Macaca mulatta: one gene and its partners. The main gene of each other region encodes a partner of the protein of the gene in region 5 in a complex. Links are inferred from orthologs where the notes say so. Each region holds a gene or a part of one and is shown on either strand. Other genes may lie near its edges. The genes, in order: TGFBR1, ITGB8, LRRC32, ITGB6, TGFB3 and TGFBR2.

What was found.
Region 1: the proteins of TGFB3 (region 5) and TGFBR1 are in contact, whole or in part, in a crystal structure (PDB 9B9F), measured with the Homo sapiens proteins. The link is inferred for Macaca mulatta from reciprocal best matches to the Homo sapiens genes TGFB3 and TGFBR1. Residues at the interface, in NP_001316868.1 of Homo sapiens: Ala301, Leu302, Asp303, Asn305, Tyr306, Tyr350, Leu351, Ser353, Thr357, Thr360, Leu364, Leu368; in NP_004603.1 of Homo sapiens: His39, Leu40, Thr42, Lys43, Phe55, Met70, Ile78, Phe84, Val85, Lys91.
Region 2: the proteins of TGFB3 (region 5) and ITGB8 are in contact, whole or in part, in a cryo-EM structure (PDB 8VS6), measured with the Homo sapiens proteins. The link is inferred for Macaca mulatta from reciprocal best matches to the Homo sapiens genes TGFB3 and ITGB8. Residues at the interface, in NP_001316868.1 of Homo sapiens: Gly262, Asp263, Leu264, Arg266, Leu267, Lys268; in NP_002205.1 of Homo sapiens: Ser156, Ala157, Ser158, Asn161, Arg206, Gln210, Cys211, Tyr214, Leu216, Ser247, Gly248, Asn249, Ile250, Asp251, Thr252, Glu254.
Region 3: the proteins of TGFB3 (region 5) and LRRC32 are in contact, whole or in part, in a cryo-EM structure (PDB 8VSB), measured with the Homo sapiens proteins. The link is inferred for Macaca mulatta from reciprocal best matches to the Homo sapiens genes TGFB3 and LRRC32. Residues at the interface, in NP_001316868.1 of Homo sapiens: Leu24, Ser25, Thr26, Cys27, Thr28, Leu30, Pro347, Pro349, Tyr350, Leu351, Arg352, Thr357, His358, Val361, Leu364, Leu368, Ser375; in NP_001122394.1 of Homo sapiens: Ala110, Ser135, Tyr137, Ser160, Val184, Met186, Asp187, Ile188, Asp190, Phe193, Leu202, Leu204, Arg206, Asn207, Ser208, Thr210, Cys211, Ile212, Ser213, Asp214, Phe215, Ser216, Leu217, Cys227, Asn228, Ser229, Lys254.
Region 4: the proteins of TGFB3 (region 5) and ITGB6 are in contact, whole or in part, in a crystal structure (PDB 4UM9), measured with the Homo sapiens proteins. The link is inferred for Macaca mulatta from reciprocal best matches to the Homo sapiens genes TGFB3 and ITGB6. Residues at the interface, in NP_001316868.1 of Homo sapiens: His259, Gly262, Asp263, Leu264, Arg266, Leu267, Lys268; in NP_000879.2 of Homo sapiens: Ser142, Ala143, Ser144, Asp147, Pro196, Cys197, Ser199, Ile200, Tyr202, Cys204, Ala234, Asn235, Ile236, Asp237, Thr238, Glu240, Asp271, Lys355.
Region 6: the proteins of TGFB3 (region 5) and TGFBR2 are in contact, whole or in part, in a crystal structure (PDB 9B9F), measured with the Homo sapiens proteins. The link is inferred for Macaca mulatta from reciprocal best matches to the Homo sapiens genes TGFB3 and TGFBR2. Residues at the interface, in NP_001316868.1 of Homo sapiens: Arg325, Lys331, Trp332, His334, Tyr390, Tyr391, Val392, Gly393, Arg394; in NP_003233.4 of Homo sapiens: Leu50, Phe53, Asp55, Ser72, Ile73, Thr74, Ser75, Ile76, Glu78, Val100, Asp141, Glu142.

What each region holds. Positions count from the first base shown.
Region 1 is NC_133420.1:59,300,111-59,305,229, forward strand, and holds the start of TGFBR1 (TGF-beta receptor type-1), read right to left. Parts: upstream 3,109-5,119; 5' UTR 3,000-3,108; coding exon 2,903-2,999; intron 1-2,902. UniProt on the Homo sapiens protein: Transmembrane serine/threonine kinase forming with the TGF-beta type II serine/threonine kinase receptor, TGFBR2, the non-promiscuous receptor for the TGF-beta cytokines TGFB1, TGFB2 and TGFB3.
Region 2 is NC_133408.1:107,913,441-107,917,869, reverse strand, and holds part of ITGB8 (integrin beta-8 precursor), read left to right. Parts: intron 1-541; coding exon 542-788; intron 789-2,156; coding exon 2,157-2,322; intron 2,323-3,246; coding exon 3,247-3,405; intron 3,406-4,429. UniProt on the Homo sapiens protein: Integrin alpha-V:beta-8 (ITGAV:ITGB8) is a receptor for fibronectin. It recognizes the sequence R-G-D in its ligands.
Region 3 is NC_133419.1:77,073,246-77,078,137, reverse strand, and holds the start of LRRC32 (transforming growth factor beta activator LRRC32), read left to right. Parts: upstream 1-1,476; 5' UTR 1,477-1,610; exon of another isoform or gene 1,611-2,620; intron 2,621-2,921; exon of another isoform or gene 2,922-3,167; intron 3,168-4,892.
Region 4 is NC_133417.1:65,076,010-65,080,879, forward strand, and holds the start of ITGB6 (integrin beta-6), read right to left. Parts: upstream 3,085-4,870; 5' UTR 2,805-3,084; intron 1-2,804. UniProt on the Homo sapiens protein: Integrin alpha-V:beta-6 (ITGAV:ITGB6) is a receptor for fibronectin and cytotactin. It recognizes the sequence R-G-D in its ligands. Internalization of integrin alpha-V/beta-6 via clathrin-mediated endocytosis promotes carcinoma cell invasion.
Region 5 is NC_133412.1:149,175,067-149,179,495, forward strand, and holds part of TGFB3 (transforming growth factor beta-3 proprotein precursor), read right to left. Parts: intron 3,472-4,429; coding exon 3,308-3,471; intron 3,010-3,307; coding exon 2,880-3,009; intron 1-2,879. UniProt on the Homo sapiens protein: Transforming growth factor beta-3 proprotein: Precursor of the Latency-associated peptide (LAP) and Transforming growth factor beta-3 (TGF-beta-3) chains, which constitute the regulatory and active subunit of TGF-beta-3, respectively.
Region 6 is NC_133407.1:17,939,324-17,944,499, forward strand, and holds the start of TGFBR2 (TGF-beta receptor type-2 precursor), read right to left. Parts: upstream 3,185-5,176; 5' UTR 3,038-3,184; coding exon 2,944-3,037; intron 2,343-2,943; exon of another isoform or gene 2,324-2,342; intron 1-2,323. UniProt on the Homo sapiens protein: Transmembrane serine/threonine kinase forming with the TGF-beta type I serine/threonine kinase receptor, TGFBR1, the non-promiscuous receptor for the TGF-beta cytokines TGFB1, TGFB2 and TGFB3.

The DNA of each region.
Region 1 (5,119 bases), on a different chromosome or scaffold from region 5:
AATTATAAGTTAATATTGCATAAACCGGACTTACATAAAACAGTATAAATACTAAAGGAATGCTCAAATAGAAATCAACAAGCATTTATGTGGAATAGAATATAAAACACAGTGCTAAGTTCTGAGGCCATAAAATAAAGAAATGGCATGAATCTTGTCCTCTGGGTACCTATAACACAGTCAAGTATTGTTAAGTAGCAGCACAGGCAGTAGAAATGGACAACACAAACTGTTAAGTGTTGCAGAGTTCTGGAAGACAAAGAATTCAAGAACTAAACCAGCACAGGAAGTCAGGGCTGAGAACTTCTCACACTCCCATAACAGGGGCAAAACTAAACGTGTAGTGAAAAGGCTGAACAGTCAGGAGTCAGTGAGAAAGAGAAATTGTTTGAAGGTCTGCAGTCATGGGAAATGAGATCCCTGGTAAGATACTCAGAGATGGCCCCAATCATAAGCTGCTCAAGTGTGGTTCTAAGTGCTGAATACAAATGGGAAATCTTATAAACCTTCATGGGGATGGCTGAGGAAGATTAGTTTGGCAGTAGCCCATAGAAAAGCCTAGATGAGAGAAACATGGGAAAGCAACTAGATTTGGAGGATAACAGGCAGGATTAAGCTGAAGGCTGCATACCAAGAAAGGAGGAGACATTCAAGAGGCATTCATAGAAAGAAGAGTTGGATTGGGGGCATGTTTTCAAACAAAAAAAGTTATGAAATGGCAGAAAGGAAGCAAACAGCATTCTCAGATGGGATATAAATATAGACATAGTGGTACTAAACTGTGTACTAGGGACAAGGAATCCATTTCCCTAGAGAAATCTATGTTGGAGAGAGAAGTTGGGCAGACAACAATAAAACATACTCAGAACATAAAAAAGTGCAAGTCTTTAAAAGAGAAGCCAAATTACTGAGGGGGAAAAAAAAGCATTTGACCTTTTTCAGAATGTCTTTTAAGGGTGGACTGAGGCATCATCATAACCAACAAGGAAGGCAGACAAGCTGAGGCAGTCTGGGCTTACAGTAATAAGCACCTGGACAGCTTTGTATTGTGTGCACGCCAAGGAGACTGTAAACTTCTCCAGGACATGGACTGAGCAATGTTCTGTATATTCAACTAAGTCCACTACTGTTACTTGAATACATGAACACTTCTTATGCTACTTCTGGTGGAAAAGAATGCACTGTGCTATTCAAGTTAATAGTGGTGTGGAAATGTTACCTGTGTTTCATGCCTAACTATACTGATTCTCCCAAATGTCCACACAGTTATCTTGCCTTCCTCCCTAGGCCAATATCAAAAATCCATTGTTTCCTCTAATGCAGGAGGCCCACGTGAAGGGACTCAGGAATGTGCTAAGAGTCGGAATGAAGCCTATCTGATATTCAAATCATGAGGACAGAATCTAAAGTGAATAATAAAGACCAATTGCTCAGCAGACGACTGAAGAAGAAAAATGGGCTACGCCAGATAGTATGATGTATATATATTAATATATAAGATATACAGGTTTTGAAAACTGAGATCTGAGTGAAAATCCTAGCTTTAGCACTTAGTTATTGGGTACTTAATGTGTCTGCACCCCACTTTTCACATCTGTAAAGTGGGGCAAATGCCACTACTCCTGAAAGTTTAGTTGTGGTGATTAAATAACGTACTTATACAATTGTGTACTTTATGCATTTACATCGCAGTAATGCATAATACATAGACGGTAGCTATTACGACTAATTATAATCGTCAGTCTTGATTTTTTTAAAAAAAAATTCAACATCTTGTGTCCAGTTTCAGAAACAGAAATGTACTTTCACTGCATTTTAGTCGCTAACACTGAGGCTCTCTGTATTTTAGCTTCTAGTGCCTCAGTTCAGCTGCTAACAAAGTTTTTCACTCATCCCTTCGAGGATGCCAACCACCTACCCCAACCTGATTTAATATTTTGAAAAATTCAGCGAACATTCTTCCTTGAAAACCAGCTACACAGATGTCTGATTCAAACTATTAACTGTCACTCAAGAACAGGAATATCGCGAGTGATGGTCTTTCGAGGAAATAAAAAGCGTTTAATCAATTCACAGTCATTCCCAAAATTTCCAAACCCCGCAGAACGAGCAAACGTTCAAGTTTCCACTACGAAAACAATCCGTAGCCTTCTGGTTACTGGACTCACTTCAACACTCCCCAGACGCACGAAAGAAGAAACATTCCGCGCATCTCCGCGCTTCCTTCTTCTCACACAAAGCCCCCCTGGCTGGAAGAGCAGCCCCTTCCAGCAGGGTCGGGTCGGGTCGGGTCGAGCCGGGCGGGAGTTACGGCGGCCTGTGGACCCGGGGGGTCTCACCACACTTCGCCCCCGACTCCCACTGGCCGAAGCCCTAGCGGCTCGGAGCTCACACCCCGCCCAGCAGCCGCCTTCCACCCCAACCTCAAACCCCGCCCCGGGCCCGGCAGCCTTGGGCACGGACCCTCTTGGGGCGGGGGTCCCCGGAACAAGGTCACGCCGTGCCGAGGGGGCGGCGGCGGGCAGCCACCGCTCTGCCAGTCCCCGCCGGCCTCACACTCTCCGCCCCTGACCCTCGCCCACTCACACCCCAGAGGGCAGCCCCGGACCTCGGACGACTCCGCCCGACTCCACCTCCCCGGGGAGTCCCGAGCGGGGCGGCCTCGGGCAGCAGGACACGTCCGCCCGCGCCCGGACACACGCCCCTGCCCCGCCTCCGCTCCCCGCTTGCGGTTCGCACGGCGGCCGCCGAGCCCCGCGAGGCCACGAGAGCCCGGCCGGGCCCCGGCGCAGCCACCTGCGCCCCCGGCCCCGCGCCATGTTTGAGAAAGAGCAGGAGCGAGCCAGAGGCCGGGCCCGGCCCGCGCGCCCCGCAGTCGCCCGCCCGCCGTGCCGCCGCTCACCCGTCGCCCCCGGGAGCAGCGCCGCCGCCGCCGCCGCCGTCGCCGCCAGCACGAGGAGGAGCAGCCGGGGACGCGGAGCAGCGGCCGCCGCCTCCATGGTCCCGCCGCCACCGCTTGTGGCCCGGCCCGGCCCGGCCGCCGCCTCACCCCAGCAAGCCTCGCCTCGCCCCACCTCCCCCGCCGCCGCGGCGGCCTCGCTCCGGCCCTTTGTAACTGCTCGGGGGACGCGCGTCCATTGGCTGCCGGGCTCCCGCCGGCCCCGCCTCCCCGCCGCCGCGAGCGGCCGAGCGGGACCCAGCCGGGAGCCCCGCCTGCGGGACCGCCGGGCAGCCAATCCACAGCCGCGGGTGCCGGTTTCTGGCCACGCCCCATGCTCCCCGGGGGCCGGGCCGCCAGACCGCGGCCCCGGCCGGATCCGCTGTTGGCTCCCGGCTTCCAGCTCCCAGAGGCCGCGTGGGGGCGGGATCTGCCAGCCAGAGCACCGCTGAGCCGCTAGTCCCGGAGGGCCGGGTAGAGCGATGGGTGTGTCTGTGTGAGTCTCTTTCGGAAAAAGGCTGTGGCCGCTCGAGGCTCTTTTCTTCTAACCTCCTCTAGGCGCGGAAGATCTGGTACTGCCTCAGCCCCACCCTGACCCCATTCACAGCCCCGCACCGGCAATCCCAGCACATGCCACTCCGATCCGCTGCAGCGCCAGGCCCCAGCATCCACTTCAACTTCCCCTCTCCAAGTCCACGCATCAACTTCAGCTTTCCCCCGAAGATCCCTCTTCAGTGCCCTTCACATGCGACTCACTCTCCTATTTCCTCCTGCGCCCAGCGGTCACCCCAAACCTAGCTCCCCCACCCAATTCCAAACCTAGAAAGTCCTCAGATCCCAGCCTCAGACCCAGATCCTGAGCCGAAACACACCTCCAAATAGCCTCCCGCCTCCCTCCAGCACAGACCCAGGATGGGGATCCAAACCGCTCTCCTCTCATCCCCATTCCCGATCCAGGTTGGAAAGGGAGGGTCCCCACCCCAAACCCTCAAAGGAGAGGTTCCCCCTTCTTAGCACCCAGCCCCCGTGGGGCGGAGGGGGAGCAGTCATCATTACTTTGAGCTGTGTCTGACACTCCTGTATAATAATCCTGAGGTGTCACTAAAAACCCAAATAAACTCTACGTTTTCATTCTGAATTCCTAATTTACTGCGAGACGCTCCACCCACCTTCCCTCTGCGACGCCAAAATGAGCTCCAGATTTGTAATTCTTCCTGTCAGACTAGTCCTTTCTTCAGACACAAACACAGCCAAGTAGGCTGTTACGTAGAACAGAGAATATTTTTCCGCAGAACCTTTTAAGGAGGAAGTTTTATTTTCTGTGTTATTTGAGCTTGGAATTAAATAAACCTTGATAGCAGGAATCAGAACCAGCCTCTAATGCCAATTTGTGCACTACTTTAGAATCACTGGGTGAGCATTTTCCGCACCTGTGAAGGCTTCCTTCCGGGAGATGAAAAGGGAAAGGGCGTGGATTTTGGAGCTAGGATCTGAGACCCGCGCACTTTCTCCCTCCTGTCTAGGACACTTACTTAAGCAAGTCAGCTAACCTTTCTCAACCTCCAACAGACTCAGAGGCCTGCAACTTGCTCTAGACCGCAGCTCCAGCAGCCTCAGCAACAAACATCCCTCTTGCTCAGGCTGAGGGATTCCAGAGAGACGGCTTCTGGCAGGCTCCAGTCCCAATTTGCCCTCTCAGTTCCAGTTTCTTCAATGGAGATTTGGTGGGCTTTGTGCCACCTGAGGTCCCTAGACTGCCTTTTTGCTGCCCTATTTGCAATGTCTTGCGTAAGATAAAAGCTAATGAGATTTTTATTGTATGAATGAATAAATGATCTCAGAAAGTGACTGTTTTTCTCTGGCCATTAGCTTCCTCATCTCTAAAACGTAAATAATAATAGTACTTACCCCGTTTATAAATAAAAGGGATTGAATCACTTGTCTTGGGCCCCTTAAATGACGTAATGTGTCTGGTACAGTGTCTGGAACATAGTAAATATTTAGCTAATGCCATTTTTTTGCCCATCCCCTTCCAGCTCTGTATGATTCTAATCAGCATGTATGTTCATGTTCGTCTGTGCCTTTGACGTACGGAGCCTAGATTAATCAGTGTTAATCACACCTCCAGTTCCTTAACATTTTCCATGGAATTGAGTGGATTCAATAGGAAGGAAAAACAGA
Region 2 (4,429 bases), on a different chromosome or scaffold from region 5:
TTGCTGTACTACACAGTACTAGAGTTTTCTCATCTCCTGTGTAAATACACTTTAACCCAAAAGAATGAATTCATGCCTTTATCCAATAAGAGTTCATTTAAAAAAAAAATGCCTTCCCAGTTTTCCTCAAGTCATTCCACAAGTACAGCCCCCTCACTCTCTTGAGATAGAATGCCGCTTACTGGTTTGCACTGTGTTTTTCTAGCTACTAAGGCAATGGAGGTTCATATAATGATACGATACCCTGTTACATTTATACGGAGCTAGCCTATTTGTTATTATCCCTATTCAGCCTATAGAATTGTGGGAAATGAACTGTAGGATTTGGGACTAATAAATTGGTATGGTTTTCAAATTGCCTTATAATTATACTACAATAATAATTATACTATAATGATTATAATTATACTAGAATATTCCAAAATTCATGTGCACATTTGTGATGATTGTGCTAGGTGCTAGAATGTGACTAATTTATTGATAGCTTATCCTGAAAAGTTTAAAATGAAGACTACATGATGTTTTTCTTCTGTCGAACTAGGAGCTGAAGCTAATTTTATGCTGAAAATTCATCCTCTGAAGAAATATCCTGTGGATCTTTATTATCTGGTTGATGTCTCAGCATCAATGCACAATAATATAGAAAAATTAAATTCTGTTGGCAACGATTTATCTAGAAAAATGGCATTTTTCTCTCGTGACTTTCGCCTTGGATTTGGTTCATATGTTGATAAAACAGTTTCACCATACATTAGCATCCACCCTGAAAGGATTCATAATCAATGCAGGTATCTAGGGTTTGATGAGCATATGCTAAATTAATTTTTTGCTTATAAAATCTCACTTTGTTTTTAATGTAAAGAACTTACCAAGTTTTATATTTTTGTCTTATAAAATAAGAATAAAAATATTTGGTGAGGTGGGAAAGTTTGTTCATATCTGAAAACTTCTGAGATGACCTGTAGATTGGGCTTTTTATTTTCTATTTCTTTAAATATTTAGTTAGTTTTTATCACCAAAAATAAACAAACAAACAAAAAACAATGCCTAATGTTAGTAGCTTTGAATGAAGCTTCAATAGTTAGGCCGCCATGTATATAAATACCTCTTTGGAAATGCTGTATTTTTATGCTTTGATTGCTCCAAAATTGCTGAATTATGATTTGACACATTTCAAAGAGTTTGTGCCAGCACGTCATCTATCTCTCCAATACTGTACTGTGACTGGGGATAATGATGTTGCCTATGATGTGACTACAAAGAAAGCTCAGCTATCACAAAAAAGTGGGTCAAAAGATGAGAATTTGACTGCTTAGAAAGCCTTTTTTCTTATCATTTTAGAATTCTTATTCTAAATAACAGATGTCCCACTATGAAAGAAGAATTAACTTTAAAAATGTAAGTGTCTCACACAATATTGCCATTAGCCCGTTGAATTTTCAGAAAAATAAATCCGTTTGGATCTTTTTTCATAAAAGACTTTATCTTTCTTGCTTCTACCAATTCCTTAGATTACCTTAAAATACACATTCCAATTTACCGAAACAGCTCTGTCATCTGTTGTACCAGAACAGGATTGATGCATCCACTAATGGAGTTTCATAAGCCTTCTTGAGGTGAATGTACCAGAGGAATCATTCTTACTTTCTGGATATCATGGATTCTCAAAATAATTTTAATGAATTTTGATTGTTCATCAATAATTCCACCAAGCATGATTTTAAAAATTAGTGCAGTATTAAAAAACAAGCAGTATTATCACATTTCAACTAAATTCCTCAAAAGCATTTTCCAAAAGTGTTTCTCAGCTGTTCAATGATAAGAAATCACTGCACATTCTTTTATTCACCTTAAAAATTCAGTGCAGATTAAATATTGAAAGCCCTTAGCTGTCCTATATTAACAAACATGTTTAATCATCTTTATTTTTTTGAATACCAGCTACTTATAGTCTTATTTCCTACTTGCAAAGAAATGATCATCAATATTGAACTTCTCTCTAATTTTATAAGCACAGATTTTTGTCTTATAAAATTCCCCTGGCACAAAAGAAGTACTCCCTTTTCACTCAACTGTACAATTTTACTGTTAAGTATTCTAGAATGCTTAAGAAAGAAGAGCAAAATAAACTTTACACTTCCTCTTTTCCCATATAGTGACTACAATTTAGACTGCATGCCTCCCCATGGATACATCCATGTGCTGTCTTTGACAGAGAACATCACTGAGTTTGAGAAAGCAGTTCACAGACAGAAGATCTCTGGAAACATAGATACACCGGAAGGAGGTTTTGACGCCATGCTTCAGGCAGCTGTCTGTGAAGTAAGACGTTTCACATTATTGAGTGTTTGCTAAGATGCAAAACTTTCAAAGAATTTAGAATTTTTGTTTTCTCTTTGATTTGAGGAGTGAAAACGTAGTGTAGAAGAAAACATATCTTACTATCTCTTACTCCTCACCAAGGTGATTCATTTTGGTATGTGTTTTGTACAGAGGGACTAAATTGGGGGAGGGATTTAAATAGGAAAAGATAAAAGGGAAAGAAAAGGTTATGCACGTGAAAATTCTTTCCAAAAGGGCTGCTTTTCTCATGCGCCACACTCCAAGGAGGAACTAGAAGTAGACTGTTGCCCTCCTCGCTTCAGCTTGTTCTCCTCCTTTTTTTTTTTTTTTTTTTTGAGACGGAGTCTCGCTCTGTCTCCCAGGCTGGAGTGCAGTGGCGCGATCTTGGATCTCGGTTCACTGCAAGCTCCGCCTCCCGGGTTCACACCATTCTCCTGCCTCAGCCTCCTGAGAAGCACCTGCCACCATGCCCAGCTAATTTTTTTTTTTTTTTTTTTTTTTTGTATTTTTAGTAGAGACGGGGTTTCTACTAAATAATTTTATTTAGCCAGGGTGGTCTCGATTTCCTGACCTCGTGATCCGCCCGCCTCGGCCTCCCAAAGTGCTGGGATTACAGGCGTGAGCCACCGCGCCCGGCCTCTCCTACTTTTTAATCTATCTTATTCTTCCTCCACTGGAACACTAGACATCTCTAGCCAGGAACTAGTGTGGTCACATGGCTGTGGGAAAATAGAGGATGTACAAATGAAAGTTAAAGCTATTTATGCAGCAGCGTTGTACCCATGCACATCGTTCTAGCCTGACTTAATGTTCATCGACTCAAACATGATGTTTACTTGAGGTAAAAACCACAGTACAGATCTATGTTATTGTACAAAATCTAATTACATGTTTATTTTTAAGAGTCATATTGGATGGCGAAAAGAGGCTAAAAGATTGCTGCTGGTGATGACAGATCAGACATCTCATCTTGCTCTTGATAGCAAATTGGCAGGCATAGTGGTGCCCAATGACGGAAACTGCCATCTGAAAAACAACGTCTACGTCAAATCGACAACCATGGTAATGTAGCAGTAGCCCCTTAGTAGATATGACTCTTTTGGTTAAAGTACAATTTTAAATTGGCAACTCCACTATTTTTGTACCAGGAAATTACCTAAAAAAGAAACAAGGATAAGCCATGAGAGAGAATTTATGGAACAGTGCAATCTATAAATACTGATCAATAAAATGTATGAATCAAACACTTTGACAGTTTCTAGTAGCTGACTCTTTGATGAATGACAAAGCACAGTATAATTTTTGAAAATAAAAATGATACAAGATTTTACTTTTTATGTAATTCTAGGACAGGGGAAAAAAGTATACCTTTGCTTTTTACAAACAGACCAGTTGTACAGGGTCAATATCTACAAACATTTTAAGGAGGAAACCTCACAGTACAGTAGGTAGAAACTAAATAGAAACCAAGGAAAAAAGACAAGAGAGAAAGAGAGTAAAACAAAGTAGGCTTTCTCTATTTTGTACCTTACTTCTCTCTGCATCTTATCTATTTAAGGTCTCTTTAAATCAGTGACTATCTGGCTTGCTTCCTGAGGGTTAGTATAAGCTCGGAATCATATATTTAATATAATCACCTAGAACCATATCTTCCCTGGCATTATCTAATTCTAGTTGTGAAGAATCAACAGCCCAAAGCATCATTTACTTCTGATGTTGACACTTATTTATATATTCTTGCATATGTTAAAACAGAACCTCTCCAACTTTCTCAGTTCAGGAGACCTTAGTCTCTCAGTGATTTTATTCCATGACACTCATGGGTCAAAAGAAATACCTAATAGTTCTGTTTTTCAAGTGGTTAAGTCCAAATAACTCAACTATTTTTGTCTTAACAACTTAGTAGCTCCTTAAAAATAATACAAATGTATCAAATGTAGAGAGACATGTTTCAGTTTTAGTAAGCAACTTACGAAGAGAAATTTTCAAATCCTGAAATAAGATTGGTCATCACTACCCTGATTTCTTCTTCCATGTTGATTTTCAAGTTGACCAGCTCGGCAAAGATTAATGTCATTTAAAAGAA
Region 3 (4,892 bases), on a different chromosome or scaffold from region 5:
GGGAAGAGAAAGAGGTTTGGATACCTTTCCCAGGCCCTGCTGAGAGATTCCTTACCTGCACCTCCTGCCCATCCCCTCAGTGCAGCTCAGGCCTCCTCCTTAGGGAAGCTTTCCCTGATTTCCTCCTCTAAGGCTAGGTCAGGCCCCTGGGGCACCTGCTGTCACAGCTTGTCCTCTCTGGGTTGACCCCATCTGCTCAGATCCATCTCCACAGTAGACTGAACAGGCAGAAGAAAAGACAGTAACTGTAGGGACTTCAGGAAATCCCACTTCTGAGCCCAGCCTTACCCTGATTTGCCAGAAGGCCCTGGGTGGTCACTTTCATGCCTGTAAAATGGGGCACCCTACCCCACTCTAGGGCTGGTGACCATCAGGGAAGAGAAACACTGTGGAAGACCATCAGGGAAGAGAAACACTTCCACCCCCAGAACCAGGACCTGGAGGACAGCCAGGGCCCCTCTCCTCTAGGGACCCGCATCCTGGAGCCCACAGGCAGCAGAGCAGGGTACCTGTGATTTGGTGGGGACAAGGCATCTAGAAGAGGGGTGGCTTTGGGGAAGATCTGCTTCAACCTCCGATCTAAACGACAATACCGCCACCCTATATTTGCACAATACTTTAAAAAATCGGCCAAGATAATGCCCAAACTGAAGCAGACTTGGCTTTATGGACAGAGTGGGCTCAAATCCCTGATTCTTACAAGCTGTGTGACTTTAGACATGCCACTTAACCTTTCTGAGCCTCAGTTTCCCCAACTATAAATAGGGACCTTACTAGTCTCAGACAATTGGTTTTCATGTGTACACACTGCCCCCGCCCTAGCCTCAGTTTCTCCGTCCGAAAGCTGAGGACTTTGATGGTGCTATTTCACAGGCTGTTGAAGGGCCCCGCAGATGATGGAGGAGTACGGGTCTAGACGCTAAAGCACAGTTCGGAGAGGAAAAGTGACCTGCCAGGACCCACCAGAGCGGGCGGCTTGGTGCGGGGAACCCCCTCCGCGGCCGCCCCAGGGCCAGAGAAGGGTCATTTCCTTCCGCATTCAGCCCCGCCGTCACCTCGCCTGTTTGCCCCCGCGTTAAGTGCGGCGGCGCCAGCAGCTGGGAAATCGGGGCCAGGCCGGATTTCCTCTGTGGACCTGCGGCTCTTAGAGCCACCGCGCCCCCCTCCGGACCCCGCGGGGCCGCGAACTGCACGTGCGGCGGCCACCGGGACGGGCCTAGCTCCCACGGCGCTTCCTCTGCGACCCCTCTCCCTCCCGCCCTCTCATCTCACCCCTCTGGGTCCCCGCCCCTTCCCGGCCGAGGTCCCAGGGTGATGAAGATGCTTCGCCGCTCCGCCCCAGTCCGCCTCCGCCAGCTCCGGATAAACCGAGGCACGGGGCCAGGCGCTAGGACCCCGCGGCCTCGCCGGAGGGGGGCGTGGCGTGGCGGGCCGGCGGGAGAGGTATTTAAATTGCAGCCGGAGCGCGGGGGCTCCGGTGGGGCAGCTGAGTGGCCTGCGCCTCCTCGGGCCGTGACCCCGGGGTCTGGCGCGGGGTGGGACCCGGGGGCGGGTTTGCGCAAAATGTGCCGAGACTGCCCGGGAGAGGAACTGCGGCCGCGCTGAGCCAGGTAGGAGCCGCCAGGCGGGCGAGGTGGCCGGCCCTCGGGGGGCGCACTGTTGCGCGCCCCTCGCGAGCGCAGGGAGGGGTCTGGTCCCGCGAGACGCCCCCCAAACCCTCCCCTCCCGCCGTCCCCACTGCGCGCGTGGGGCTGGGGCTGACCCTCCCTCGGTTCCTGGGAGGCCCCCAAGGCTCCTGTCTCCGCGGAGCTTTCCCGCAAAGGAGTGAGACCGAGGTTCCCATTTGACAGCTGGGAAAACAAAGGCCTGAAGACCGGACTTGCCCAGGAACACACAGCTAGGCAAGGGCAGACCGGAATTTGAATTCACGTTTCCTGCAACGTTCCGATCCCGGCCAGGCGTGGGGCTGCCCATCCCACAGCACTAGATGGCCTGCCCATTTCTCGTAGTGGGGTGGGAGGCACCTACCGCTCTGCAAGGGGCTCTGAAGCCAGCCTTCTTCATGGCTGGTAAGATGTGAGGGACCCCCACCCCCACCCCGAGCTGCCTGAAATTCCGCCATCACAGCCACATTCCTTTGGGTTAAGGTCTAATTCCCCCGTGGGATGCACATGTCTCCAGAACGAGGCTTGCCCTTAGTGATTCACTGCTTGACAGGAACGTCCGCAGCAGCTCTCCCAGGACCCCACTCTGCCAGTAAGTCAGCTGAGGCCGAGAGGAGGGAGAGAGGACCTCAGAGCCCAGACTGTGAGCTAGTCTGCCCTGCTCCTGCATGTGAGGGGTCGTTGGCAGGGCTTAGGGAAGGAGACCTTGGTCCGGTATAGTGGAAACATTTGCTTTGGAGGTAGATGAACTGGATTCTGATCCTGACCCTGCTATTTGCTCCTTGTGTGACTTTAGGTAAGTCACCTCTCTGAGCCTCCTTTTCTTCATGGGCAAAAGAAGACAGTTCTATGGGGGGAGTCGGCTCAGCTTGTGCTGGAGAAAACACAGTATTCAGGTCATGTAGAACTGGATAAATCCGAGCTCCAAAGCCCTTGTGAGCTGGGTAACTCTGGGGGTAAGTCACTTCACTTTTCGGAACCTGTTTTCTCAACTGTAAAATGGGAATTACAGTAATTGCCTCAATAGGTGATTGTGAGAATTAAATGAGGTGATATAGGTCAAGTGCTTAAAAGACTGTCTAACATCCTTAAATGTAGGGTGGGCTTATTGTGATAGTAGTCATTGCCCCCCGTACCCCTGCTCTCTTACCCCTGCTCTCTTCTCTCTCTGTCTGTCTCTCTCTCACACACACGCACACACACACACACACACACACACACACATTCTTTAGCACTTTTCTGCCTCCTCTTGCCCAGGCCACTTGTCTGCAGGCTTGGGGCCTCCCCACTGAGCACACCTCACCTGGGATGCTCAGCCCTGCGAGGGTCACTGTGCCAGCTGGAAGGACAGTGAGGACGCAGGGCACCTTTGCTGCTATTCTTTGCCGGATCATCACAATAGTTGGGGTTGGCCAGTGGCAGAACTGGAACCCAGCTGCCTGCCCTGCAACAGGACACTGGGGCACCAAGAAATGAAGGAACTTACCCTAGGGAGCAGAGCTGGTGAGTGGTGGGCTTTGGATGCATGCCTGGGTCTAAGTGACACCGTCCTCCTTTTTGAGAGAGAGTAGTCTTGGGCACCACTGAGGAGGGCCCACAGCTGAGGGGCCCTTCCTGTCAGATGCCAGGACAGAGTGCCCATGTGCTCCAGGGACGGTCCCTTCTGGATGTGCACAGGGCCACCTTGGGGATAGAGTGGGGTTTGGCAGAGGAAGGGGAAATAAGGGCCTAGGACCCTTCCTTGTCCTCACCTGGCACTCTCCACTCAGTCTGCTGCAGCTGAGCTTCTGCCCTGACTTTGCCACTTGTTCACTAGTCTTTAGTGAGCACCTACTTAGTAGGCCCCTGTTCCCACATGATAAGAAATAAATGATGAGGAAATGATACATGTGGGAAAACAATGACATGTGTGAGGAGCTGAGGAAGAGCATTCAGGGAGAGGAAACCGCAGGAGCAAAGGCCCTGAGGCAGGAATGAATTTGCTGTGTTGAAGGAACAGCAAGAAAGCTGGAATTTAGTGAGGGAAGGGAAAATGGACAAGAGTCAGAGAGGAGACTGTGGATGGCCTGGATTTTCTTGGAGATTTTCAAACAGTAGAGGTTTAGGGTCTGACAGATGATTTTATCTCTCTGGCTGCTAGGTATAGGACAGATTATAAGGGGTCAGTGTGTTGTGGTTAAGGCCGGTATTGGGGTGGCATCTCAGTCTGTGGCAGTGACAAGAGGGAAGTAGGAAGATCTGGGGTCTCTTTTTCAGGGAGAGCAGTCAGAGCCCTCTGATGGCACAAATAGGGGAAGGGAATGTGGCAGGGAGGTGAAGGGAGAGCCAAAGAGAACTGCTGTCACTAACGACCCCATGTCACCAATACTCCTGGTGTCAGTTCTCTGTGCCGCTGCTGACCTGCTGTGTGCTGTGAGATGCATCTCAGGACGGTGAGCCCCTCTCTAGGGGCACTTCCCATGGGAGGGGGGTGGGACACAGTACCCACGGAGGGCTTGGTGCTGTGCTCACTGGAAGCTCGGGGGCTCTGGGAGGACTGGAGGACATAGCCCAGACTTGGGGAACCAAAGAAGACCTCTTGGCCCATCTAAGCTGGGACCCCAAGGATGAGGAGGTCTTTAGTAGAAGAGGAGAGGGGAGGAAGTGAAGGTTTGGGGCAGGGAAAATCTGCTCAGGGAACTGATAGAAATATGAGATGTCCAGAATCCAGAGTGTGAGAGGGGACACTGGGGAAGGAGGCTGGAGGGAAGAGCTGGCCAGGCAGGGCATGCTCCCCAACAGCCTGGAAGGCCCTGCAAAGGGGTTTTCACTCAGTTCTGAATATGCTAACTTTTTAACGGGCGGTGGCGTTCTGCTTTTTAAACAGTAGAACAAAGTTTCCTGTGAAAGCGCAACCTGTAATGCAGGTGAGAGCAGAGCAGCTGCGGGGGCAGCGCCTGTGGCCCTGAGGGGAGCCAGGGAATAGGGTTCACGGGTCCGGCTGTGGTCTGTATGCCTTCAAGCGAGATGGGATTCACAGCAGCCATCTTCATCCAAAGCTCATCATTAGTGGGTTCCAACAGTCAAAGACGCTGCCCTCAAAAGCCCTGTAAATGCCTTTTCTCCTGCAGCATCCTTCAAAATCGCGGTTCAGCACTCACTCAGGGAGCACCCACTGTGGGAGGCCTGAGAGTGTGAATTTGAAGGGCACAGACCCAGGATCCAGACTTGCCTGGGCCAGTGGCTTGT
Region 4 (4,870 bases), on a different chromosome or scaffold from region 5:
GCAGTCTAGGTGCTGTAGGTGTTTGTGTTCTCCAAAGTTCTTGTGTTGGAAAGTTGATCACCATTGTAACAGTACTAAGAGGTGGGACCTTTTAGAAGGGATCAGGCCATGAGGGCTCTACCCTCATGAATGGATTAACACCATTATCATGGGAGGGGTTCGTTATAAAAGGATAAGTTGAGCTCCCTTTTTCCTCTCTCTCACCCTGTCTTGCTCTTCTACCTTCCATCATGGGATGATGCAGCAAGAAGGCCCTCACAAGATGCTGGCCCCTGATCTTGCATTTCCCAGCCTCCAGAACTGTAAGCTGACAAGTTTCTGTTCATTACAAATAACTCAGTCTGTGGTATTCTGTTATAGAAGCACAAAACAGACTAAGATGGTAGGGGATTCAAAATTTATCTTATATATGATAGGGAACCAGTGAAAAATTTTAAACAGAAGAGAAATGCATTCTGATTTGTTGTTTTGAAAGATAACCAACGGTAGTATGTTGGTGAATTGGAGGGAGGGAGAGTGCTTGGAAAGTTAGTGTAGCAGTCTAGGCAAATGTGGATGAACTATAATGCCAGTGGACATGAAAGAGGAAAGGATGAACGGCAGATCCAAGTGAAGGAGGAGGATAAACAAGCCTGAGGTTTCCTGCTCAGGCACTTGGTAGACGTAACCTGATGTAGCAGAGCTGTATGTATGGGTGAACTTTGTGTTATTAAACAAAATAATCATTTTAATATTACAATTTGACATATCTATCAACCTCCTATGGGGCTCCCCAAAGAGGTGGGATATTGCAAAGGAGAGAAACAGTTAGGGCATAGAGTAGATAATGGTTCAGAATGGCTAAGTACAAAGCTGAATGCCAGTAGCGTGAAGGACAGTCAAGGGCCTTCTTTCGGGAACTCCAACCTAAAATAGCAATCTGGGCTGGCCTGCCTGGATTGACAGGCCCATGCACTGTGACCAGGTTGGGGTGCCATGCCTGTGAGTAGGCTGGATGGATCCCCAGATGACCTTGGCCTGTAGTTAGCTCTTATAACTACATCTTGGGTGTGGCTGATTTCCAAAGTAGCAGCAATGGCAGCTGACAGCTTTGGGAGTGTTTATTCTCTGTAAAGAAAAAGTGCCCATAAGAAATACACCTCCCAAGTGGTTGTTCCTCCTGGTTTGACTAAGAGATTCTGTGGCTGAGAATATGCCTATGGTTTTTGTAAAACCATTAAAGAATTGATCGCTTTTTTCTTGAGTCAAAATGCCTTGAATCTCTTAGGTAATTTAGAAGATCAGTGTAAGTTCTACTCCTGGGAAATATGTCAAAGAAATGACTGCTTGCATGCTTTAGTTCATTAGAGTATCTTTTCCCCTTCTGCATATCACAATAAAAGTAAATTCCAATACAAGAATTCAAAGGCAGAGAAGGAACCTAACCCTAACAATCAGATTAGAAATAAATGCCCCCTTTGAGGATCTGAAGTTGGAATACAATATTCCACTAAGTGGAATACAATATTCCATTCTCTGATTAAAAATTCTTGCTGTCACCTACAACTCACAAGGCCAAAACATCTGGTGCTAAGTTTGCTTTAGTGTATGGTAACTGGGGAAAACATTGAGAGATTGCAGTAATAGGATTTTGTGTGTTTGTAAATTGAGCTTTAGCTATTGTACTTCATCCAGGGAACACTAGAGGGAGCAAGTCAGATAGAGGAAAAAGATTACAATGGGAATGAATGGGGAATGAAGAAAGGAGAACTCTAAAGAGGAAGGCGTTTTTGCATATCACTGAGGCACAAAATTTTCCTTAGGCAGACACCAATACTTGTATTATGACCAAATGACTTTATATTCAAAACCCTGTATTAAAAAACTTTCTTTCTGAGCCTGTTCAGAATCTAAAAAAATAGGAGAAGAAAACTATTACTCTCTGATCAGATTCTGTCCATTTTAGGTATTTTACGAGCCAATACAATATAGCTCTACCTGTGATTTTTTTTAATTTTAGAGGGTACATTATTTGGATGAATAATGTACAAAATCCACAGATATTGGATTTTGTTCTTTACAGTGCTAGTGGTCATACTTCCGAAAGTTCTCATGGTGAATAGTAATGATACCAGGTATTTTCAGACACTTGTAAGAATAAAATATGCTCTTCATAGATAACCTGAATTGGAAGCCCTTTTCTCTCCATTTTCTCCATAATTCTCATGTATTAGTTCTACACTAAAACACCATTTTACAATCCAGAGGTACTGAAGTTAACTGGTCCGATGTCATGCATATGTCAATGCAAATATGAACTGATATTTATTTTCCTGTTTTAAATTTCCAGTTCCTCATTTCCTTTGTGCCTCTTGAAGATGCCAAAAAGTTAGTGAAGACGAGTCTCATCACTGATTTTTTTTTAAAAAAACTTTAACAATTAATTAGTACAATCAGAAACAAATATCTTAAAATCTTAACGAGAGACTGTTCAACTGGTTATTAAAATATTTTACTGAATAATGAACTAAGGCTTTTATGAAATACTGTTCTTAAACCATAGCAGATTTTTAAAATGCAGCTGTTAAAAACATGTGTGAGTCCAAATGTAAGAAAAATCACAGTAAAGCATGCTAAGTTAATAAGGATCCGCTCTTTTACAAACGTTGGGGTAGGCTCACCTGGACGTTCATGTCAGGAGAGCAGAAATGACATTACAAACTCCCTAAGGCAGCGTCTGTTGGAAGCGATCGGTGACACTGACAAGAAACACTCAGTTCTGAAATTTGGGTTTGCATTTGTTAGCCATGCATTATCCTACTTACCTCTCAGGGTAGAACCTTTAATTTCAGAAAGTGCTGGCATGCATTACTGCACCCGTTATCAAAAGTCTTTGGCAGAAACGCCATTTATCCTTGTTGTGGTAATGAACAGATTTAAAACATTCTGGTGTCACCATCCCTGAAAAAGCACATTCATTTGAATATTTCTTCCACCGGCATAATGAAATATTTCATGAAGGCACATGGGTGTAGAATACTATGGAGAGATATTGCTGGTGAATGACAGAACGTCTGGTTGATTTACATGAAACCCCAAGTGCTCATATGAGAATAGGTTAGGTTTAGATTGACGAGCAAATGTGTAACCAGACTTCTGGCTGACAAATGGCAGAACTATGCCAGTACATTAGCTTCTCTGGAGAGAGACCAAAAGTGAAACGGGAGGATCAAGTTCACTCCATAAAGGACATTCAAACCTAGTGGATGGCAGTGTGGCTGGGATATTAAGCACTTATAGATATTAATACCCCAAAATAGTACTGAGTTTACAGTTGAGCTGGCCAACTGCAGGCCAGTGGTCAAACTCTTATAAAGCATTGCCGTATGCTACATGTGTGTATTGACATTCCTTCAGGAGGATCCTGGTGTTTTCGAGATAAGTCTATTTTATTGGCAGCTTTGGTCACTAACTCTAAAAATGGATTGTTTGGGTAAACTAGAAACTGAAAATAACAACTGATGAGATTAGCGTAAAACATGGTGCCAAGCATTTAATGGTCCAGATTGAATTAGATTTATTTTGGCGCAGCACAGCCGTGAACAGAAACATCCACACAGGCTTTGTCGAGAAGGATGAAGAATTTGGACCCATACTCTCTTTTCCAGGCTAAGACTGAAAGTTCAGGACTTTGGGTATGCCTCCAAGGAAGTAATGTGATAGTAATAATAGATACTCCTCAAGTTCCCATGGTGTGCCAGGCCCCCTGCTTGGCACTTAGTGTACATTATTTTATTTGATTCTCACCACCACACTGCGGATAGGAGTCACGATGTTTGCTTTATAAATGACCCGGAGGTTGACTTATCCAAGGCCATACAAGTAAGTGACCAAGTCGGGATTTAAACTCCAGTCTGACTTGAAAGCTCTTTCCATCATGTTACAATTCTTCCCAAATGTCTGATAAACAGTACTGGTTCAGGTTTGCAGCTTGCAAGCCCTTTGGTATTTGTGGAGCATTGAGGCAAGAAAAACAGAGAGAGCCAAGAGTCCTGGGTTTGAATCCTGGCTCTACCATTTACTCACTGTGTGATCTTGGAAAAATATCTAACCTTTCTGGGCTGTATCCTCATCTATAAAAATGTGTGTATGTGTTGTGTGGTGGGTAATAGAAGATTTATAAGCTACCTTTCATTTATAACTTTTGATGATTTTGTGAGCTTTCACGGGGCTTTTAATTTCCTGTAATTGAGGTGCATGTTTGGTCTTTTGCTCTTTAAATAACTCAGCTGTGAGGAGACACTTCCATTTGAAATTCAAGAACTGACTTAATTTCTGCCATAGAGACATTATTTCTCCCCTCTGTAAAATTCATTTCTCTAAGTGGGTTGTCTCAATACAAACTACCTTTTATTTTCTTGGTGTACTGACTGTGGTGCTCTGCTCATAAGTGCACCATAACGAGGGTTGTAGGACATGCTAGGAATACAAAATGGTATATCATAATATTACCACAAAGGAATATCACTAAAGTTGGCTTTCATATGAAGGCAATAAATATTACTTCTTGTGGGTTAGAAGACCAAATATGCATGGAGCTGCCTATTTTGGATGCTTTGGTTTATTTCTATAAATTAATGAAATTTTATTTATCACATGTCCCTCCTTATGTATAATTCTGTACAATATGCTGACACCTCTGCAAATGGCTGTCTGTGCTTACAGCGTACTACCCATTGCTAGTTTGGCCTGCACCCATTCCTCCTGTTGATGGAAATGTATACATTGGCTCTCCTGTCATGAACATTCATCACCCACTGCTCTGCATTCTTGAAGATCAAATGACATGGGCCATGCTGTATGTGGGGAGCAATGTTTCAGAATTCCTTTG
Region 5 (4,429 bases):
GCTCCAATTTGGAGTCCTTTGTTGCCTGGTTTGAAGCCATGAACTCCGACGAGACTCATGGGCTCTCTATAAGCACAAACCTGTGTGATGATTCCCCTGTAGGAAAGGTAGGCAGTATCTGCCTAAGTGGGAACTGAAGGTTCCAATGAAGAACTAACCTCAGAATTGGCAGCCGTGGGGATGGTGGGTGGGGGACCCATAGGTTTTATTACGAAATTATCTTTTTGATGTCTCAGGAGGATGGAAATCATTCTCAATGCAAACTTCTCATTGAGCTCTGCAGCTGTGAAAATAAGAACTCCTTCAAGTGCCCAGGGCTTCAAAGAAATCCAGGTGGAGCTGATCAAAATCAGACAGGGAAGTTAAGAGATTAATTTCCCCAGCCCCTCCTTTCTGTAGCCGTCTGAGTCAGAATTCCCAACAGAGCTGCTGTCGGCAGATCCACGTGGGTTGTCCTAGGCTCTTGCCTTCATGCTCAGTAGGAGGGACAGGATGGAATTCCTGGGTACCCTTGGGACTGGGGCAGGATCTCCAGCCCACCATCTGCCAACTCAGCCATCGGATAATTCCCCTTGGATGGGGAATTTTCTCATTTATGTGACCTGCCTGGGCTCCATGGGTACCAAGCAATGCAAACTCGATGCCTATGGAGTCCAGGCAGGTCACGTGAGAAAACCGAGCCAGCATGTGATGCTAAACAGGAACTGCCAGCCTCACTCTTGGGGAACAATAGGGAATAGTGAGGGCTGTGGGTACTGAGGATGCATACCCCATCTAAGGGGTGGCTGGTACTCGTCTGTGATGGATGGTTACCAGGAAATCTTCCAACTTTTCAAAAACAGCAAGAAGTCCAGGTTTTATGTGAAATCTCCTGACTTAAAACACCCAAAACTGTTGATGACTAGTCAAATTGAAAACAATATGCAGGCCAAATAGTTTGTAATCTCTGCCTTTGAGTTTTAACTCTTAGTTGGCTAAAATACCAAGGACCTAGAAGGATCCACCTGCCTCAGGGAGTCTGGGCATCAATATATGGATGGTCTGTGGCTTTATAGCAGCTGATGACAGGAGAAAACCCTGCCCAAGAGGGAGAGAAGGAACAGATGGGACTGCCATCTGTGACCCCAACCCACTGAGCATCAGACCAGGCAGTACCAGTCAAGGAAAGGGAAAGAAACATAGAGGATGGTGTCATGAGACACCAAAGTTCTCATCCAGACTGGACGACCTCGGTCAAGTCACTTAACTTCTCTCGGCCTGTTTCCTTATCTAAAATAAGAAAAGCTTACTCCTGTAAAACATGGTAAAAACCATGAAGTTCTCTCAAATGCATTTGATCCTTAAAACAACTCTATAAGGCATGCAGAGGAGGAACCATTGCCTTATTTTCCAGGTGAAGAAAGACAGTGCGTGGATAAGATATTTGGGACATGTGAAGTGTGTTACGCCTCTGGGATAGCTCTGCTTGCATGACCACCCGGCCTTTCAAACTTAACTGGCCGGAACAGAACACGTTCTTCTCCTAGGCCCCCCATTTCAATAAGTGATACCACCTGGATGTCGAAAAATTTAGGAGTCATCCAGAATGCTCTTGTGTCCTCACACCCTACACCTAATCAGCCTGCGCTACTTACTGGCTACCTTCAAAATACAGAATAAATCCATACAATCTTCATATCCACTGCTACCACCCTAGTCTCAGCCTATATTGCTCTCATCTGGGCTGCCACCATGGCTCCTAACTGGTTTTCCTGCCTCTTCCTTTGACCTCCTGGAAACTAGAGGGATCTTTTAAAGATGTCAATCGAATCACCACACCCAGTCCCTCCTCCTGGTAGCTGTGTGAGTCAGAATTCCCAGCAGAGCTGCTGTCAGCAGATCCACATGGCTCTCCTAGGCTCTTGACTTCACGCCCAGTAGAGGGACAGGAAGGAATACCTGGGTACCTTGAGTATCCCCATCTCTGGTTATAGCACTCCCACACTTCTCATCACCCACAGAATAAGTCCTGAAACCTCACCATGACCTGATGATGTTCTAAATTAAATTGGCTGGGCATGGTGGCTCACGTCTATAATCCCAGCACTTTGGGAAGCCAAAGCGGGTGGATCACTTGAGGTCAGGAGTTTGAGACCAGCCTGGCCAACATGGTGAAACCCCATCTTTACTAAAAATACAAAAAAAATTAGCTAGGTGTGGCAGCGTGTGCCTGTAGTCCCAGCTATTCAGGAGGCTGAGACATGAGAATCGCTTGAACCCAGATGGCGGAGGTGCAGTGAGCCGAGACTGCACCACTGCACTCCAGCTTAGGCAACAGAGTGAGACTCAGTCTCAAGAAATAATAATAATAATAATAATAATAATAATAATAAATTATATGGCCCCAGCAACCTCTCTGACCACCTCCCCTCCTCCTCCCTACCCCAGCTCAGCATGCTCCAGCCACACCAATCTGTTTGCTGCTGCTGCTCGAACAAATCAAGCTTATTTCCACTTGAGGGCCTGGGCCTCACTGTTGCCTTTGCTTAGCACATCCCTTATTCTGATCTTCATGGGCTGACGCCTTATCATTCAGATGTCAATGCATGAATTTCTTCATCACAGAGACCTTCCCTGGTGGACCCCACCCAATCATTATCACATTGCCCTCTTTCCATTTCTCATAGTTCCTATCCCTGTGGCTGCATCCCCAGGGCCTGGCTTACAGGGAGCACTTAATAAACATTAGTTGAGTGAATGAATGGAGAATACTCAGTGGCAAAGCTAGGGTTTGAACCCAGATCTCTGAGTCCCTTAATTCTGTCCTCTTCCCTCTGTTTCATGGAGGACTAAGGGACCTGAGGTTCATTCTGAAATGTTCATCCGAAGGGTCCACCTACCTCTTCTCAACAGCCACTCACGCACTGTGTCAGTGACATCAAAGGACAGCCACTCGGCAGTGCCCCGTGTGGGCAGATTCTTGCCACCGATATAGCGCTGTTTGGCAATGTGCTCATCCGGCCGAAGGATCTATAGGGCAGAGAAAGGAGTGAGTACTAGAGGCCATGACAGAGTGCCCCAGAAGATGTCACAGTGCAGAGCACAGGTGAGGGAGCAATAAGAAACCAGTGGTTCCTGAATGCCATGGCCCCCGAGCGCCTTAGCTAACTCTTAAGGTTTTAATGACAGACACTGATACAGAAACAAAGGCTCAGAGAAGCCAGGATTCAAACCCAGGTCTGCCAAACTCTGCACCCAGTGGTGCCCTGATATGGCAAAGGAACTGGCTTTCTCGTAGGTGTGGTTTCTGCTCCGAGAGAGGAGTTACCTGGAAGAGCTCGATCCTCTGCTCATTCCGCTTAGAGCTGGGGTTGGGCACTCGCAAGACCCGGAATTCTGCTCGGAACAGGTTGGTTCTATTTTTCTCCACTGAGGACACATTGAAGCGGAAAACCTTGGAGGTAATTCCTTTGGGGCAGACAGCCAGTTCGTCTAGGAGATAAAGCAGAGCAGAGGGCACAGCATGAGTGAGACATGCAGGAACAGTGTGCTGCCAACGGACAGGCACCAAGTGGCCACCGTCCTGCCTGCCACCTCCCTAGAGGCTTGAGGTCTCAGACCTCAAGGTGGAGATACGAGGAAGATTCTTGGTGGCCCTAGAATCACACACAGTCCTGAGCAAGGAGCAGTGTGGCCTCAGAGCTCCACGACATGGCACTAGAGACTGGCCAGTCAAATCTAATTGCCCCCTCCTCCCACTGCCTTAAAATCTCAGTTCTGGTAAGTTCTCCAACCTGTTTTTCCTACTTTTTGAGAAAATACTGATTCTACACTTTTGTTTGTTTTGTTTTGTTTTTTCTTCCTTTTTGTGGAGAACAGGGTCTTGCTATACTGCCCAGGCAGGTCTCGAACTCCTGGGCTCAAGCTATCCTTCTGCCTCTACCTCCCTGAGAGCTGGGATTACAGGCGTAAGCCACCGTGCCCGGCCTAAGAAAATACTGATTCTAGAAAGATATCAGCAACCTAGTAGTTTACATATCTTACAACTAGTTGATCTATTCCTGTGTTTGTTCATCTGGGCATCCATTCATTTATAAAAAATGTATTGAGCAGCTACTATATGCCAAGCATAGTGCTAACACTGGGAAGCAAAACGTGAACAGACACAACCCCTGCCTTCAAGGGGATTAAAATCCATTTATGCCTAGTGTTCCATTATTGGAATGCTAAGCATGTGGGAGTTATTTATATCCTACTGCTCAAGGTCATCGCCAAGGTCTGATTTCAAAATTCAAAAAATTGCAGCCTCAGGCTTATGGATTAATATCCAAGTGGGGGGTATTAATACATGGGCCCAAATAACAGGACTAGAGAGAAATAATAGGACAGAGTGCCCTGGAAGATGTCAAAATGCAGGAGCACAGGTGAGGGGAGTGACAGGAAACCAGTG
Region 6 (5,176 bases), on a different chromosome or scaffold from region 5:
CTCAAAATGTGATTAGTATTTTGTATAAAACATAACTCATTAAAAATAAGATGTTGTTAAAGGGAGTGGCCTAAAGGTAAAAACGTATTTTTATGAGGGCAAAAAAAAAGCACAAGTAGACCAAAGATAAGATTTGGGGCCTAATGATGTCTAGTCTCTTACCCTGACAAAATAAGCAGGTTATTAAAGAGATCTGAAGAACCTGTATCCCTACGACACTGTTACAAATTCTTTGTCCTCAATAAGAATCTACTTTTAGGAATCTGAAAAGTCATATTTTTCAGACCTGAAGAGCTATTGTACACTTTACAGTTTTCCCCCAAAGAGTCATTTCTTAATTTTGATCATTTAGGAAGAGTGAATGTACTAAGTCAAAAACAAGGGAAAAAAAACTTTCTATTTCTTAGTGAAATTTGTTCTTATATTTAAATCCTTTACATACTACTAAACAGAAATACAGAAGCTACTAAACAGAAGACAGATTTTGGGGCTTTTCTATGTGACGTAAAAGGAGCTTGTTGTTTATTAAACAATCTCATTCCCTCATATATTATCTTGCATCAAGATATTTTGAAAAAATGTTTTCAGTTTACCAGTTATGTTAGAAAAATTCTGAAACCATTTACTTACATGAAAAATTAAAATGTAAGTAGAATTAGGTTTCTCATCTTCAATATATCTATCTTCAACCTTTGGCCAACTTTGAAAATTTAATTTGAATCAAATGAATACAAATTCAAAATATTCATTAATTCAACCATTTTGAAACTTCAATTCTATAAAAATAGGAAATCTGTGGGCCTTGTTAAACTGTCTAAATACTCAAAAAGCCACCACGCTTTTATGCTAATTGTTTAAAAGTGTGTATATTGATGAAATGAAAGTGACTCATGAACTATTGGGTCTGGAATTTGCAAATCATAAATCTTATCCTTGTAAACAGAACCTAACAACATCAGGGCCTGCTAATTTCCTTCTTCTATAATCTGGAACAAAAGTTTTAATGATTTTTAACATCCACAGAAAATTAAGGGTGCCATTTTAAATATTTATTAGCAAAATACAACTTAGGTTTAAGAGTCTGGAGGAAAATGAGAGACAACTGAACATTCTGGTACTGCAATGCAGGAAAAACGCCAAGAACGAAACACTAAGATTTTATTAAAACCATAGGACTCAAAAGTGTGTTAAGACTTTTTGCTTGCAATAGTGCATCTTCCTAATTAGATTAAAAGCTTCCATCTCCATGCCACCTTCAATGTATGCCATAATTTTTAAAAAGTTCCCAATCCACTTCAAATACTCTGAAATTTACAACTGACCATGATGCGCGTTTTTTCTAGACAAACCAAAAGGTAAATCTGCCCATGTCCCTGGATAAATAAAAAGAGTGCGTCAGGGTGATGTGGACTGCCAACTCCTCTACATTTCATCCAGAGCCTACATGGGTCATCTCCAAGTTACCAGAAGAGCTAGGGGAAAGGAGGGGAGGGCCACGGCACGTAAGATGTTAAACACGAAGATGATGTAAAATTACCCAGATTCAACCTTGCCATTTTACAGATGAGGAAACTAAGGCCCAGAAAAAGCTCTGTGACTTGCCCAAATACTCGGTTACCCAGACCACAGCTGCAGATACTGTTATTTGGATCACAGCTGCAAAAAGTCTAACTTTTGGCCGGGCGCGGTGGCTCATGCCTATAATCCCAGCACTTTGGGAGGCCAAGGTGGGCGGATTACGAGGTCAAGAGATCGAGACCATCCTGACCGATATGGTGAAACCCTGTATCTACTAAAAACACAAAAATTAGCTGGGCGTGGTGGCGGGTGCTTGTAATCCCAACTGCTCGGGAGGCTGAGGCAGGAGAATCACTTGAACCCATGAGGCAAAGGTTGCAGTGAGCCGAGATTGCGCCACTGCACTCCAGCCTGGTGACAGAATGAGACTCCGTCTCAAAAAAAAAAAAAAAAAAAAAAAAAAAAAAAAAAAAAAAAATCTAACTTTTGAAGTCTCAGGTGTTTACACTTTCCATAACAAATCATTAAGAACCCCCATTCCTGCATGCATATATATATATATATATATACACACACACACACACACAGACACACACATACATATAAACATATATTTTTTTTCCTTAAAAACCTTCAGACACAGCGATCAGGTGGGTAGCCTAGGTAGAATTTTAACCCTTCGGTTTCCAACAAACGATAATTGCATAGAACTATCAACTCCCTGAAGACAGGACTGTCTTGTTCCAGGCAAAATCTACAGCCCCTAGCACCCAGTGGGCATTCAGTGAGGAATTCTCGGTTTCACCTGAGCATCTCCACTCCCTTCCCATCCATGCCAAGGCGTCAGTGGAGCCAGCTAACTTTCTTTTGGAAATCGCTTATTTTCTTGAAACTTGTATCCAAAACCTCCGGGCCAAGAAGCCGGCCTGAGGGAAAGCGTGGCCGTGTCCAGGAGCTAAGGACTGAGGAGCTGGCCTTTTGAACGGGTGGCTCAGAAAGAGCTGGGTGGGCACGCGGCATTGCCACGGGCTGAGTGGCCCAGGTGTGCTGGCTGCTTTGGCAGCTCAGGCTGCCGCCCCGGGCCGCTGCTCCCCGGCCGCCTTCAGATAACCAACTTCTCAAACTTCCCTTTCCGGGGGTGGGGGCTCGCCTCGAACGCGGCCAACACAACGCCTTTCCTGCTCGCACAAAGGGGACCAAACGTGCCCCGCGCCCCTTGCAAGTGAACTTTCCATCTTTTTTTCAAGAAAAACTCACACATCCCTGCAGCTACGGGAGTCGGGCTGCTAGAGTGCCGCGGAGGAAACTTTCCTCGTTTCCGCCCGGGCGCCGGGTTGCCGGGCCCGACTGTCAAGCGCAGCGGAGAGGCGGGGACCCCAGGAAGACCCCCGGCGCCCCGCCGAGCCCAGGCTGGGGACCACTCACCCGACTTCTGAACGTGCGGTGGGATCGTGCTGGCGATACGCGTCCACAGGACGATGTGCAGCGGCCACAGGCCCCTGAGCAGCCCCCGACCCATGGCAGACCCCGCTGCTCGTCATAGACCGAGCCCCGAGCGCAGCGGACGGCGCCTTCCCGGACCCCTGGCTGCGCCTCCGCGCCGCGCCCTCTCCGGACCCCGCGCCGGGCCGGTCGCGCAGATGTGCGGGCCAGATGTGGCGCCCGCTCGCCAGCCAGAAGGGGGCCTGGAGGCCGGCGAGGCGCGGGGAGGCCCCCGGCGGCCGAGGGAAGCTGCACAGGAGGCCGGCTCCTGTCCCGAGCGGGTGCACGCGCGGGGGTGTCGTCGCTCCGTGCGCGCGAGTGACTCACTCAACTTCAACTCAGCGCTGCGGGGGAAACAGGAAACTCCTCGCCAACAGCTGGGCAGGACCTCTCTCCGCCCGAGAGCCTTCTCCCTCTCCTCGACGTCCAGCCCCTAGCTCTCTCGTAGCTGCCAATCATGTTTCCTAGACCAGCCCCTCCGAGCGCTTTGGCCGACTTTCAGCTGCCCCTCACCGCCCTCCCACACCACTCAGGAGTTCCTCGCTTCACGTATTTACTCAAGAGTGACTAAGTGCACGCAGTTCACAAAGTAACAACAGAAAACGTCCACGTTTTCTCTGGTAGATCAGAACATCTGCCGCCTCCCCTCAGCTTTCTTCAGATTGCTCCTAGGTGCTTTAGAGATGCGTTTTCAAATTACACGTTGAGATCCAGGAGTGAATACTCAAATCTATTGAGTCGTGAGCACATTTCTGTCCCAAATAAAATAGTAACGGTAAATTTTACTTCATTAAACTTGTGCTTCGGTTGTGTCTTTATGCATGTATGTGTGTGCATACACTGTCAAGTGGTAAAATGTTTTTTCTTTAGGTCGAAGTCTAGAAGTTTTTCTCAAGTTTTAATGTACTTATTGATCACCTGGGAATCTTGTTAAAAAATGCAGATTCTAATTCAGTAGGTCTAGGAGGCAGGCGGAGATTCTGCATTTTTATGAGCACCTGGATAGAGCCTCCCATTTCGCACCGCCTCTTCCGGGGACTGAGTCAGTGAGTAATTGTAAATGATCACCTATCACGAAGTGATAATGGTGGAAAATGTAATTTTCAGAATGTATAGAGTATAGCAGAAACTGTAAAATTAAAAGTGGCTTGGGAGTCACCTGAATGCTTGCGCTTTTATTCCCTTAATGCAGGTGAAGAGAATGCTTAGCCTTTCATGTGAAAAAGGGGTAACATGGGAGCAGAACAGTATAAACTTTCAAATTTCCTTTCTTGCTAGGGCAACCAGATTTGCCCAAGACACTCCTGGTGTACATGTTTTGTAGTTTAAATATTAATAGAACCCCTTTTCTCTTTCAGATATGTCCTGATTGGATAATAAACTATGTGATCAACCTACTTCTCTCTCTCAAAGATAGGATTCTGTACAGCCCTCTGGTCAGTAGATCTTCCAGCAATTCGTTTAATGAATTCCTTTACCTGAGAGAAAGATTGCAGAGGCAAGGGTTTGGGCCAGGGCCTCCAGGGAATAAAGGTAAATAGCACTCCCCCAAACCCAGCTCCCAAAATCCCTCCTGTCATTCTAAGAGTTCATTTGCTTCATCCTGGAATTTTACCTCTTGCTCCACCTAGCACCCGAGCTGCCTCTAGATGTTCTGCCACTTCCCAGCGCTCATGTTTAAGATGGAGAAAATGCAGTGAAATCAGGAGGGCTAGGCATCTTCTTTCCCATCAATTAATTGCCTTGCCAAAGCTGGAGTGACTTTATCAATGGAGGAAGATTGAGTTCCAAATCTTCTTCTCCCTGTTCCCTCTCCTGCCACCAGCCCATGCCACTGCCGTGGCTTGAGTAGGAGTCTCCCACCGGTCACCCTCAGCCACGGCCATTCCGGGCTGTTTCACTCAGTTTCTCAAATGAGAGCTGAATTCAGTTTTTCAAAATACAAAACTAGTTATACCAACTCTCTGACTAAAATCATTTAATGGCTTCCCACTGCTCTTGAGATAAAGAGAAGATAAAAACCAGATCCTTGAACGTGGATCTGGTTCAAGCCCCCACCTCTGCTGTAAACGTCCACGTGGCTTCTCCTTGCTTGCTGAAAGCCTTCTCCAAATTTCGTGAATGTGCCTCTGTAATCCCCCTATTCTTTATGCACAGAGCCTTCCTTCCCCAGTAT